Caenorhabditis elegans: one gene and its partner. The protein of the gene in region 2 purifies or fractionates together with the protein of the main gene of each other region. This does not show direct contact. Each region holds a gene or a part of one and is shown on either strand. Other genes may lie near its edges. The genes, in order: myo-1 and mlc-3.

Region 1 (5,206 bases), on a different chromosome or scaffold from region 2:
AAAGATCCAGACTTTCCTCCCTTGCGACCACCTCCGGCCTTAGCGGCGGCAGCAGCTTCTTCTTGGGTGGTGTAATCTTGCCAGATTTCGACAAGAAGGTCGTTCTTCTTCGAAGCCTTCATGACGGAGACAACGGTGTCGTTGAGAGGATCCTTGTTCTTCTCGAGCCAGTTCAACACGTTGTAACGGACAGTTCCGGCGTAATGCCGCATGGCGAAGTGAGCCTCTCCTTGCTTTCCCTTTGGTGGTTTTGGCTTTTCGAAGTTTGGATGCTTTCCAAGATGTTGATCGGTAAGCTTCTGGGCAAGAGTCATGTCAGTAGCCTTTGGAACAATACACTCCTCATCAAGCATAGAGATGATACCGAGTGGCTTCTCAATAAGCTCGATACAAGCTTGGAGATCAAGTCCGAAATCAATGAATGTCCATTGGATTCCTTCACGGGCGTACTCTTCCTGCTCAAGAACGAACATGTGATGGTTGAAGAATTGTTGGAGTTTTTCGTTGACGAAGTTAATCCAGAGCTGTTCGAAGGAATTGAAGTCGAAGATTTCGAATCCAGCAATATCGAGTACTCCGATGAAATAATCACGATCAATTCCCTTTTGATCAAGAGTAAGATTACATTTCTTGACAAGCCAGTGGAAGACACGAGCGTATAACCCCTTAGCCATGGCTCCAATAGCCCAGTGAACTTGATCAACGTTCTGTCCCTTGGATACCCATTCGGTTCCGACCTTGACTCTTGGAGACACCAAAGCCTTAAGGAATTGATCGACATCAATTCCGTACATGTTACAAGCTCTCTCAGCTTCATCTTGGCCATCTGGCTCGGCTTGCTCCTCACGTGGGCGTTGCTTGAATTTCATGTTACCCATGTGCATGTGAGCCGACATGAGTCTATAACAATCCATCTTCTCGGTGGGCGAGAATTTGAGAACATCAAAGGCCTCGTCGGTCAATTGGAACTCCTCAGTGTCATCGATTCCTGGAATAAAACAAGTTAATCTCATTCTCCAGAAATACAAAACATACCATCAATGAGCAACTCAGCTTGAGCAACAAACCAATAGTTGGAAATTGGATGGTTGAGAAGAAGCTCGTCACGGAGTTGTGGCTTAAAATCTGAGTAGATTTGGTAGAAGATATGGTAACAACGCTCTCCTGGAGCTTGACGGATGACACGAGATTTCTCGAGAAGATCTGAACAATTTACGATTTTCGTAATAACTTCTTATCATTATTATCAACTTACAGTGTTCAATATCGCAGGAAGCAAGAGTTCCGTGCTTGTTGAAGTGAATACGGATGAACTTTCCGAAACGGGAAGAATTGTTGTTACGGACAGTCTTGGCGTTACCTAAACAACCAAATTATCAGACAAGTGTTAATTTTTTAATTTATGTCTGTACCGAAAGCTTCCAATACTGGATTGGTTTGAACGATCTGGTCTTCAAGGGTAACTTCCTTCTCTCCCTCCTTCAAAGCAGCCTTTTGTGAAGCTCCGACGGTGGCAAAGTAGCAAATAACCTTCTTTGTGTTTTCAGTCTTTCCGGCTCCAGATTCTCCGGTAATAAGCATAGACTGATTCTCATGGTCTTGAAGCATGTAACGGTAGGCTTGATCAGAGACAGCGAACAAATGAGGTGGCATCTCGGTACGACGCTTGCCCATGAACATACGAGCAACAGAGTCAGTGTAAATTGGGAGACGTTTGTATGGGTTGATGACAACGCAGAAAAGTCCAGAGTAGGTCTGAAAATGGGCAAATTGGAACATTTTGTTTCAGTCAATATCCCATTTTTATAGAACTTACTTCTTTAAATTTCAGTAGTATTCAAATTTAGTTATTTTTTGGAACGATATTTTTATATTCTCAATACTGCCTTTGTTGAATCACATATTTTTAGTACCATTCCAATTTCAGTCCAAAATTCCAATATAAATTTTCTCTTTACTCACTGTGCACATTGAGCATGACTCTCTTTGTTTCTCATCGTCTGTCTCGATCCACTTAAGATAGCATTTTGCCACTTTTGCGTGGGCGCACTATTTGCCTATCCAACTACGCATTTTCGCAGATCTTTTTTCCGTGTTTCTATTTGAAGTTTTTTGAAACTGAAAAAACTTACATAGATAAGCATAGCAGCGTAACGGGAACGCAAATTCCACAGAACGGAGGCGTCATTAAGGAAAGTCAAGTTGGACATGTCTTCGGTTTTCTCGAACTTTGGTGGATTGACTTCTTGAACGATATCCTTCTTCAAAGTTACATCTTTGCCTCCGGCGGTAACGATAACAGTATCGGCCTTTGGTCCTGGACCCTTAATAACTCCCTCAATGTATCCTTCTTCGGCATCTGGAATCCAGACGTTCTTCTTCGAATCGTATGGGCGGGATTGATCCTGTAAAATAAAAAAAATATAAAAATTAATTTATATTCATACATAGTTATAAAATAATTATTATCCTAAATATCAAAACGGTGAAGTTTAGAAGCTTTAAAAATAACGATCTACCGAAAAACCGGTAAGAATTTTAAGAGATTGAACCTTGAAAATATGTTTAAAAAAGTAGCCAAGAAACAATTTTTAATATTTTGCTGTAAAAATGCTCACTTAACCACTTTAAAATAACTCTATTGTAATTGAAAAAGTTTCATTTTAAAGTTTATCAGAACATATTCAACAAGTAAAATAAAGATTGAATCTTGTTCTAGTTGGAAAATTAAATTGAATTGTTTCTATACTCAAAATAGATGAAATATTATTTGTCGAGAGAAGGACAAATTGGGAAAATACGGTATTTTATTAGGTTCAAAACTGAAGGAACAATTCGTTATTAGAAGTGTATAAAAAGCAGCGACTTCAGATAAATTTCGAATATTTTGGAATTTGAGAAGATTAGGATTTATGAGGAGAAAAAATACGTCGAATGTAAACCTAGGAAAAAGTAGAAAGTAAAATGAAAGAAGTAAAATCTTACCGCGAGCTGTTGCTCTCTCGACCTTTTCAGGTACTGCCATCCTGGGTCCTTCTCGTGTTCGAGCGACATTCTTGATTTGTTTCAGTGGAAATTAAAACGAACGGCTAATTGAAAAATGAGGCTAAACAGGTGGGTGACTTCTTCTTTTTCTTCCTACTGCTGCACTGCACACAGCTCCACACTACTGTGCTCTGCAGGGACGGATAATAGTTTGGCACACACAAGAGAGAGCTTCACTCGGCACACTTCATAGGGCGGAGCAACTCAAACTCCCCCTCATCTTCCTCTCTTGCTTAGCGCCCGTGCGCAAGAAAGGGGGCTCTCCGATATCCACACAATGAACTGTTGCCGAGAGCATCAAACGTCTCTTGGATGTGCATTGTCCATACGTTTTGAGCTTTTGCGTCGCCAGTCCAAGTACTTTATCTTTCAGGTTCATCGAAAGAGTATGTTAAATTGAGAAACGAAGAGATTACTGTAGAACTTGTTGAAAAAATCAGAGGAGGGGGTTCTTTCGGAATGAGCCCGCGCTTTTTTGAGCACACATTATTATTGGATAGAGACATACGTAAGAGATTTTTGAGAGTAAGCGCTTGGAACTTGTGGGAGTAGATAAAAAAATGTAGAAAAAAAATTAAGGGATTCATTCTTAGTTTACTTATATTTGTATAAAAAATTGGAATCAGTGATTTCAGTAACCTGGACCAGCAAACTGGTCTTATTTTATTATTAGAAACAACACTATTAGAACATTAATGAATACTGTGTAAGAAATCCGAATAATAATAATAGATCTAAATCGGATTTGGACACAATTATTTAGAAAAATTTTAAAAAAAGCGACGTTTTGAGTTTAAAAAAATATTTTTGCTTCCATCGTGTTCTTTGAAGTACATTCAAAGTTGGATGCTTTGTCGTTGAAAACATTTGTCTACATTAAAATTCAGAAATCCATCAAAAAATTTAACATGAGAAAATGTTATATAGAAACTGTGCTGCCAAATAATATTCAATATAGTGTACCTTAATACCTCAAGCAATTTTATAAGTATTTATTTTTTTTGTCAAACCATGATATTCAACCTTAACGTTTTCATTTAAAAATCACTATTTTGTATTCGCATAGTTCATTCGCGATGTGCGCATACTCATTTCGATTGAGGACCGGTACGATATGTGTTTCACGAAAACGAGCATCCGCAATGCACTCACTGCGAGGCGCGTTTGGCACATTGTGGCCGACTTCGTTGGGGATGTGTGCCACAATATCACTGCTGCGAAGATCTCTCTGGACATATTATGTGCTGATCAGATATTAGTCTCCCAGCTAGGAATTAACTTTTCAGATTATTAGTTATAGATTGTTTGAGAAACCTGTTTTTTTAACTGTTGCAAATAACGTTTTTTTTGTAGCTTAACCTAACTTTCATATCCATTCTCTCCAAAAATGTGTTGTAATAATGATGAGAGACCAAGTGGCATTGGTGAAGGAAGTTTCACCGAATCTCTCGACTTTTTTGTGCCATGTCTTTGCTCCCCCATCCCACACTCGGATACTTCTGCGCATCCTCCGCTCGCCTTTTCTTCGAATTTTTCTCGTTTTTCTAATAGTAATATTTGCCCAATTTCTCCCCCATCTATATCTCTCACACAGTATTTGTATGTGTGTGCGTAAATGTGTGTGTGTCTGTTTCTTTTTGAGATTTTCGCTCCTCTTATTCATCTTTGTTCTCGGGGCCACCCCCTGAAATTCAAAGTGAACACGGGAACACCGATCAAGTATGTACATCGACCAAGAATTGAAATCATTTTCTCCTAGTTAACAGTCTGGAAACACGAAAAGTTGAATTAGTTTGTTTCTCAGCAAATTGAAATAAAAAATTAAAGTTTCTAAAAACTTTTAAGAAGACTCTCGAAATTTCTAAGATTTCTGTGACATGTACCATTCTTTTTCCTTGTAAGTATTGCTGATCTACTAGAAAATGTTGTTTCAGAATTTTTTCTTAAAAAATTCAAAGGATAAGTTAATTAAAAAATTACAATAAATATATATGCAAAAAGGATTCTGATGGCAAAAATATTCCCAACATTTTCGATATTTTTTAAAGAATAATGAAATTAGTTAGTTTAAGACCTTTTTGAGTCTATTCCCACTTTAACCTTTACCAGAGAATGCCACTGTTTAATGACTGCGCTCAATATGCTGTCAATTTACTATTTT
Region 2 (4,729 bases):
GACAGAATTCCAAGAGTTTCATTTCATTACAAAAATCAATATTTTGGGTCTTTAGTATATTTAAGTGGACAGTTTCGCTACTCTAACTTCAATTTGAAAGCTTTTAAGGTGAAATTGTTTCTTTTCACCAATTTTTAGGATTGAGTGATATTTTTTGAAAAACTATATTTAGGTGGTGATACAATAAAAAATAGTTGTCAGCTAACAATATATACGAAAAATTGTTTAAATAATTTGGCAATTTCTTATTTTTTGGAAGCTACCGTTCTTGCACAGTAGACGGAAAATAAATCAATTGATAAAAATCAAACTGGCAGTTTGTTTTTATCAGGTCATCGACTCAAAAGCTGATATTTCTAGCAGCCTTTCAACTTACTACATGTACTATACCAAAATTTCCATTTCATAATTATTCAAAAGGTTTTTTATTATAATCCAAAAAGGAGAACGAATATAAGAAACGAATGAATTTCTGAATAAAAAAGTGTAAAATGAAGAAAGAAAGAAAATTTCTTGATCATAGAAACAGGCTTGAATGTGTTGGAGAAAAAGAAGAGAAAACCGCGCGCTGATTTTTAAAGTGCAAAACGTTTTCTGGATCAGAAAACGGAATGCGCGCACGCGAGTGGAATCTCTTACGTGTATAGCGTAGAAGAAAACGAGCGACTAGACGATGGGTTTATAGACAAAAAAGTAAAACATCGTTATTTGGAACGGGGAGAAAGAAGGCAGAGAAGGGAAAGGGGAGCAAAAAATTTGGGTAAGAGAAGATGGTGTTTTTTTTTTCAAAATTTAAACATTATAATGGGTGTAGCACAGATTCAGATCCAAAAATTTAGTCCTGGTCTGGGAATGGTCCGGCCAAAACCTTCTTGATGAAATCTGAAATAAATTTCAATTAAAAAAAATTTCCGAGAAGAAAAAAAATCGGCTTACCCTCGTACTTGACCATGCCTTCTCCGTCTTCGACTCCCTTGAGGAGCTCATCGGCCTCATCGGCGGAAAGTCTCTCACCGAGAGCCAAGAGGATGTGTCTGAGCTCAGCGGCCAAGATCTTTCCAGTCTCCTCCTTGTCGAACACCTTGAGTCCCTCGTAGAAGTCAGCGTAGGTTCCTTGCTCCTGAAGAAATTGGAAATTTATATTGGAAAGAACAATTTTCTCAGTTTATAATCTCAATGTTAAATGAATGATGATCTGCTCTACATGCGGACCCTAAGGTAGGCATCTAACTCCAGTAAACATAAATCATTCCCTATTCAGGTGACAGTAACCTCGAACATCAGCTAATTCCATCCCGAAGCTCCAGAGAACTCTCTGATTTTCGCTTAGGATTCTATCCAAAATTCGTTAGACACTGACTTTCAGATTGTCAAATTTGAGTAGATATGTGCTCAGGTAAACTTCGCAGACTATTTAATAACGAAAGCGAAATGTGTTTCCCAAAATATCTGGCCAAACTTGCTATTTCAAACTTTATGAGTTGTCCAGTCTTCTGAGCTCAGTTCGTAGGTTTCTATTGGCTCTTCAAGATCTCCATGTGCTGTTTTGAATCTTTTCTAAGAAACTGGTTGCCTTAAAGCTTTCAAAATACTGACGGTTGTGGGTCCAGAGAATGCCCTAGTTGAATTCAATCAAAGATCTACAGGATTTTTTACCTTAAACCTCCACTAAATAGTCTGAGCTGGCAGCTCTTTCCAAAACTCAATAGCTCCTAGAAGCTTCATATATACTCACTCCATTCTTTTACCCGTATATGGGGATCCTTACTCAAGATCCCTTGCCTATTCCTTACTACTTCCTATCCATACAAATATCTACAACAAGGACCCAGTAGACGCAGAATGATGATGCTCTCTATTGTTACACTGTGCCTATGTGTGTGTTTGTGTGTGCCAAGAGAGATTCTCGAGAGTCCTATGTGCTCCTCTCCCACACATGCTTCACGGGAGCCGCCGCCGCCTATCTCTCTAAAGTTCTAGGGATCGGCTGGCATGTGCCGGTGGAAGAGGATGTTCAGATTTTTCAGACCCTTAGTTGTGATTTAAAAGTTTTCGGCTAGGGGTACTGTATGGGGTTAACCTCTGAGATCCAATATTTACTTAGACCTTGAAATAAAACAAATCTCAAGCTTCATCTTCTTTGTTTGATTATCACTCGGTGCGGGAGTTAAAGGTTTGGCGCGAGGCCCCTAGATCCCTAAATCTCAAAAAACTCTCAGCTAAAGGTTAAAGGCACAGGCAAGATGTTTAAAATACCGTACCTTCTCCTTGGCGAGTTGCTCGTACATCGGGAGCCACTCCTCGAATGTAAGTCTCTTCTCTCCCTTACGCTTGAACTCCTGTCCGGCGGCCTTTGTCACCATAGCCTGAGTTGGCTTAAGTCCGGCGGCGCGGGCGACATCTCCGACTTGGGTTCCGTCGATCTTGCCGTCAAGCTCCTCATCGTAGAGGTTGAAGATCTCCTTGAGCACGTCTAGAACGATTTCAAGTTTGAAAAAATGTTTGGGATTGTAGGGATATATTTGGGGAATTGGATATATTTTTGAAACATTAAAAAAAAACTAAAAATAAAATGTTTTAGAAGTCCTAAAACCTTATAAGGTATCCCTAAGAGCTGGGGACATTGCTTAAAAAATTACTCACCTTGGGATGGTGGAGCCATTATGTGATGATGTGTGAGTGTTGCAGCGGCGGCAGAGCAGGGGGGACTGAGTGTGGAAACTGAGTGAAGGCGACAGAGCAGTGGCAACCCAAGTGTAAACTGTGTGTGACTCTTCGTAGAGGATGGGGGCGGATTGGGGCGGATATTGAGCTCCCGCACTCCCGCGCGAGTACACTATTTCACCCCTCGGGAGCCCGAGAGATAGAGAGAGGGATGTAATGCTCAAGAGATAGAGTGGCGAGATGTGGGATGTGAGAGCGAGAAAGCGCGGCGTACTGTTTCAACAAGTATTTTCTAGAAAATTTTCATGATAAGTTTAAGAATGAATGTATGACAAAAAAAACAACAAAAAATGTTCAAATTTCGGGGAACAAGTAAAAAATAGATTAAAAAATGATTTGGGAAGGGGAAAGAAGAAGCATAACAACAACAACAACAATTACAAAACAAGGTTATTCGGTGTATCTGGCCAAGTCCAGCCTCGGGACAATGTTCATGGATTGAAGTTCCTGGAAGAGCAGCTTACACGCATACGGAATCTTAATGTTCGCCATTGACTTGCTCGAACGACACTTTTGGCACCAACCCTTCGAGCCGATTACTCCGCATCCAGTGCACACGTCGACCTGGAAAACAAGAAATTTATTAAGTTACATTGGAAATCTATTATACTCTCATCGAATCGTTTTTTTATACAAACTGAGTTTTAAGGAGTACCAAATTATCCTATAAAATATTTAAGCATGCGTCTTTTAACTTTTTTATGTTAAAAATCCATACTTGTGTTTTTTAATATCGACACATTATTATAAGGCTCAACAAGTATCCATTACTTTTGCATTAAAACGCTTGCCTGCCTGACCTTAAGGCAACCTCCGCCTGCCTCTCGCCTCAGTCCGCGAATTCTGCTAAACCATTTTGTTTCTCTGTTTACGGAATAGGTCTACAGTACCCCAATGCTCGAAATGTTAATTTATTTTATTTCCTCCCTCTTCAATAATTAATAAGATCTTTGTGTTTTAACACATCTTCACAAGTTCATTTTTCCCGTGTTGGCTGCCGAACTCGATTAATTCGTTGTAAACGTATGTTTCTCTATTCTCCCTTTCAATATCTTTATTTTCTTTCTCTATCCTCCCCGCGTGCCACTTCAATCGCACATTTTCTCGGCATTCCACTCCTAGGAGCACAGCCGACGGGAAGAAAAAGCACAGGCACCCACTGTGGAGATATCTCTTCCTTCTTATTCCTCCTTCTTCTGTTCTCTCTTCTGCCAATGCTTTTACTCAATGACGAGAGATGCGGAGATCAGTGGAGTCCACAGACTTCGGGGTGGAAGATATAGTGAAATGGCAATCAAGGAGAGATCAGCGAGACATCTCTCCACGAAGATCACACTATTCACCAGGCATCTCGCATCGGGGCAAAAATCTCATCTTTTCTTCTTCTTCTTCGATGACTATTTTGTGGGCAAAAAAAAACGAAAAGTAGGAAGGAAGAAGCGAATCAAGACGAGAGCTCCGAAGGTTTCCTGGAGGGATCTTAATGTGAGGTTCACTTCCAAGTCTTTAGATCTCTGATTCTTGTTTGCCACCTGGGACAGGTGCAGAAAATATTATTTTCGGTACGACTGTACTAAGAAAAGGCGGTTTTAGTAAAAAATGTTCTCAAAAACTCCGAAATATCGCTGAATTGTGAGAGATTTTTTTTATTTGGGAATGGATCTTGCTCGAATAGCACCGAAAATTTGATTTTTTTTAACTTCCGAGCAACAGAGATTCAGAGCCATTAAAATAGAAAGTTTTGCTTTTTTTAAAAAGTTTTTAGGGAAAATGCTTTTTTTAAAATCGATTTCTCTGTTCTTATAAAAAAGTGGGAGTTCAAAAAAAAATTAATAATCGGTTTCCGACCTTTTTTTTCGATATTTTCAGATAAAAGTCGGGAAATGTATTCTCTCATGATCAAACAAAATCCATAATTTTCTCTGCGGTAAATCAAAAATTTTCAAGAACCTTTCCAAAAAACGTCAACCCAGTTTCCAAGAAAAGTCGACCCGCAAAGTCAACC

The links.
Region 1: the proteins of mlc-3 (region 2) and myo-1 purify together in Caenorhabditis elegans (affinity purification with mass spectrometry; 2 studies listed by BioGRID, with this or other methods). This does not show direct contact.

What each region holds. Positions count from the first base shown.
Region 1 is NC_003279.8:7,263,882-7,269,087, forward strand, and holds the start of myo-1 (Myosin-1), read right to left. Parts: upstream 3,177-5,206; 5' UTR 3,055-3,176; coding exon 2,986-3,054; intron 2,406-2,985; coding exon 2,133-2,405; intron 1,756-2,132; coding exon 1,413-1,755; intron 1,361-1,412; coding exon 1,256-1,360; intron 1,204-1,255; coding exon 1,036-1,203; intron 989-1,035; coding exon 1-988. UniProt on the Caenorhabditis elegans protein: Muscle contraction.
Region 2 is NC_003281.10:5,563,065-5,567,793, reverse strand, and holds mlc-3 (Myosin, essential light chain), read right to left. Parts: upstream 2,770-4,729; 5' UTR 2,663-2,769; coding exon 2,644-2,662; intron 2,474-2,643; coding exon 2,262-2,473; coding exon of another isoform or gene 2,220-2,261; exon of another isoform or gene 1,978-2,219; intron 1,121-1,977; coding exon 937-1,120; intron 883-936; coding exon 836-882; 3' UTR 787-835; downstream 1-786. Other genes in the region: rpc-2 (DNA-directed RNA polymerase subunit beta), read right to left, coding at 3,115-3,288.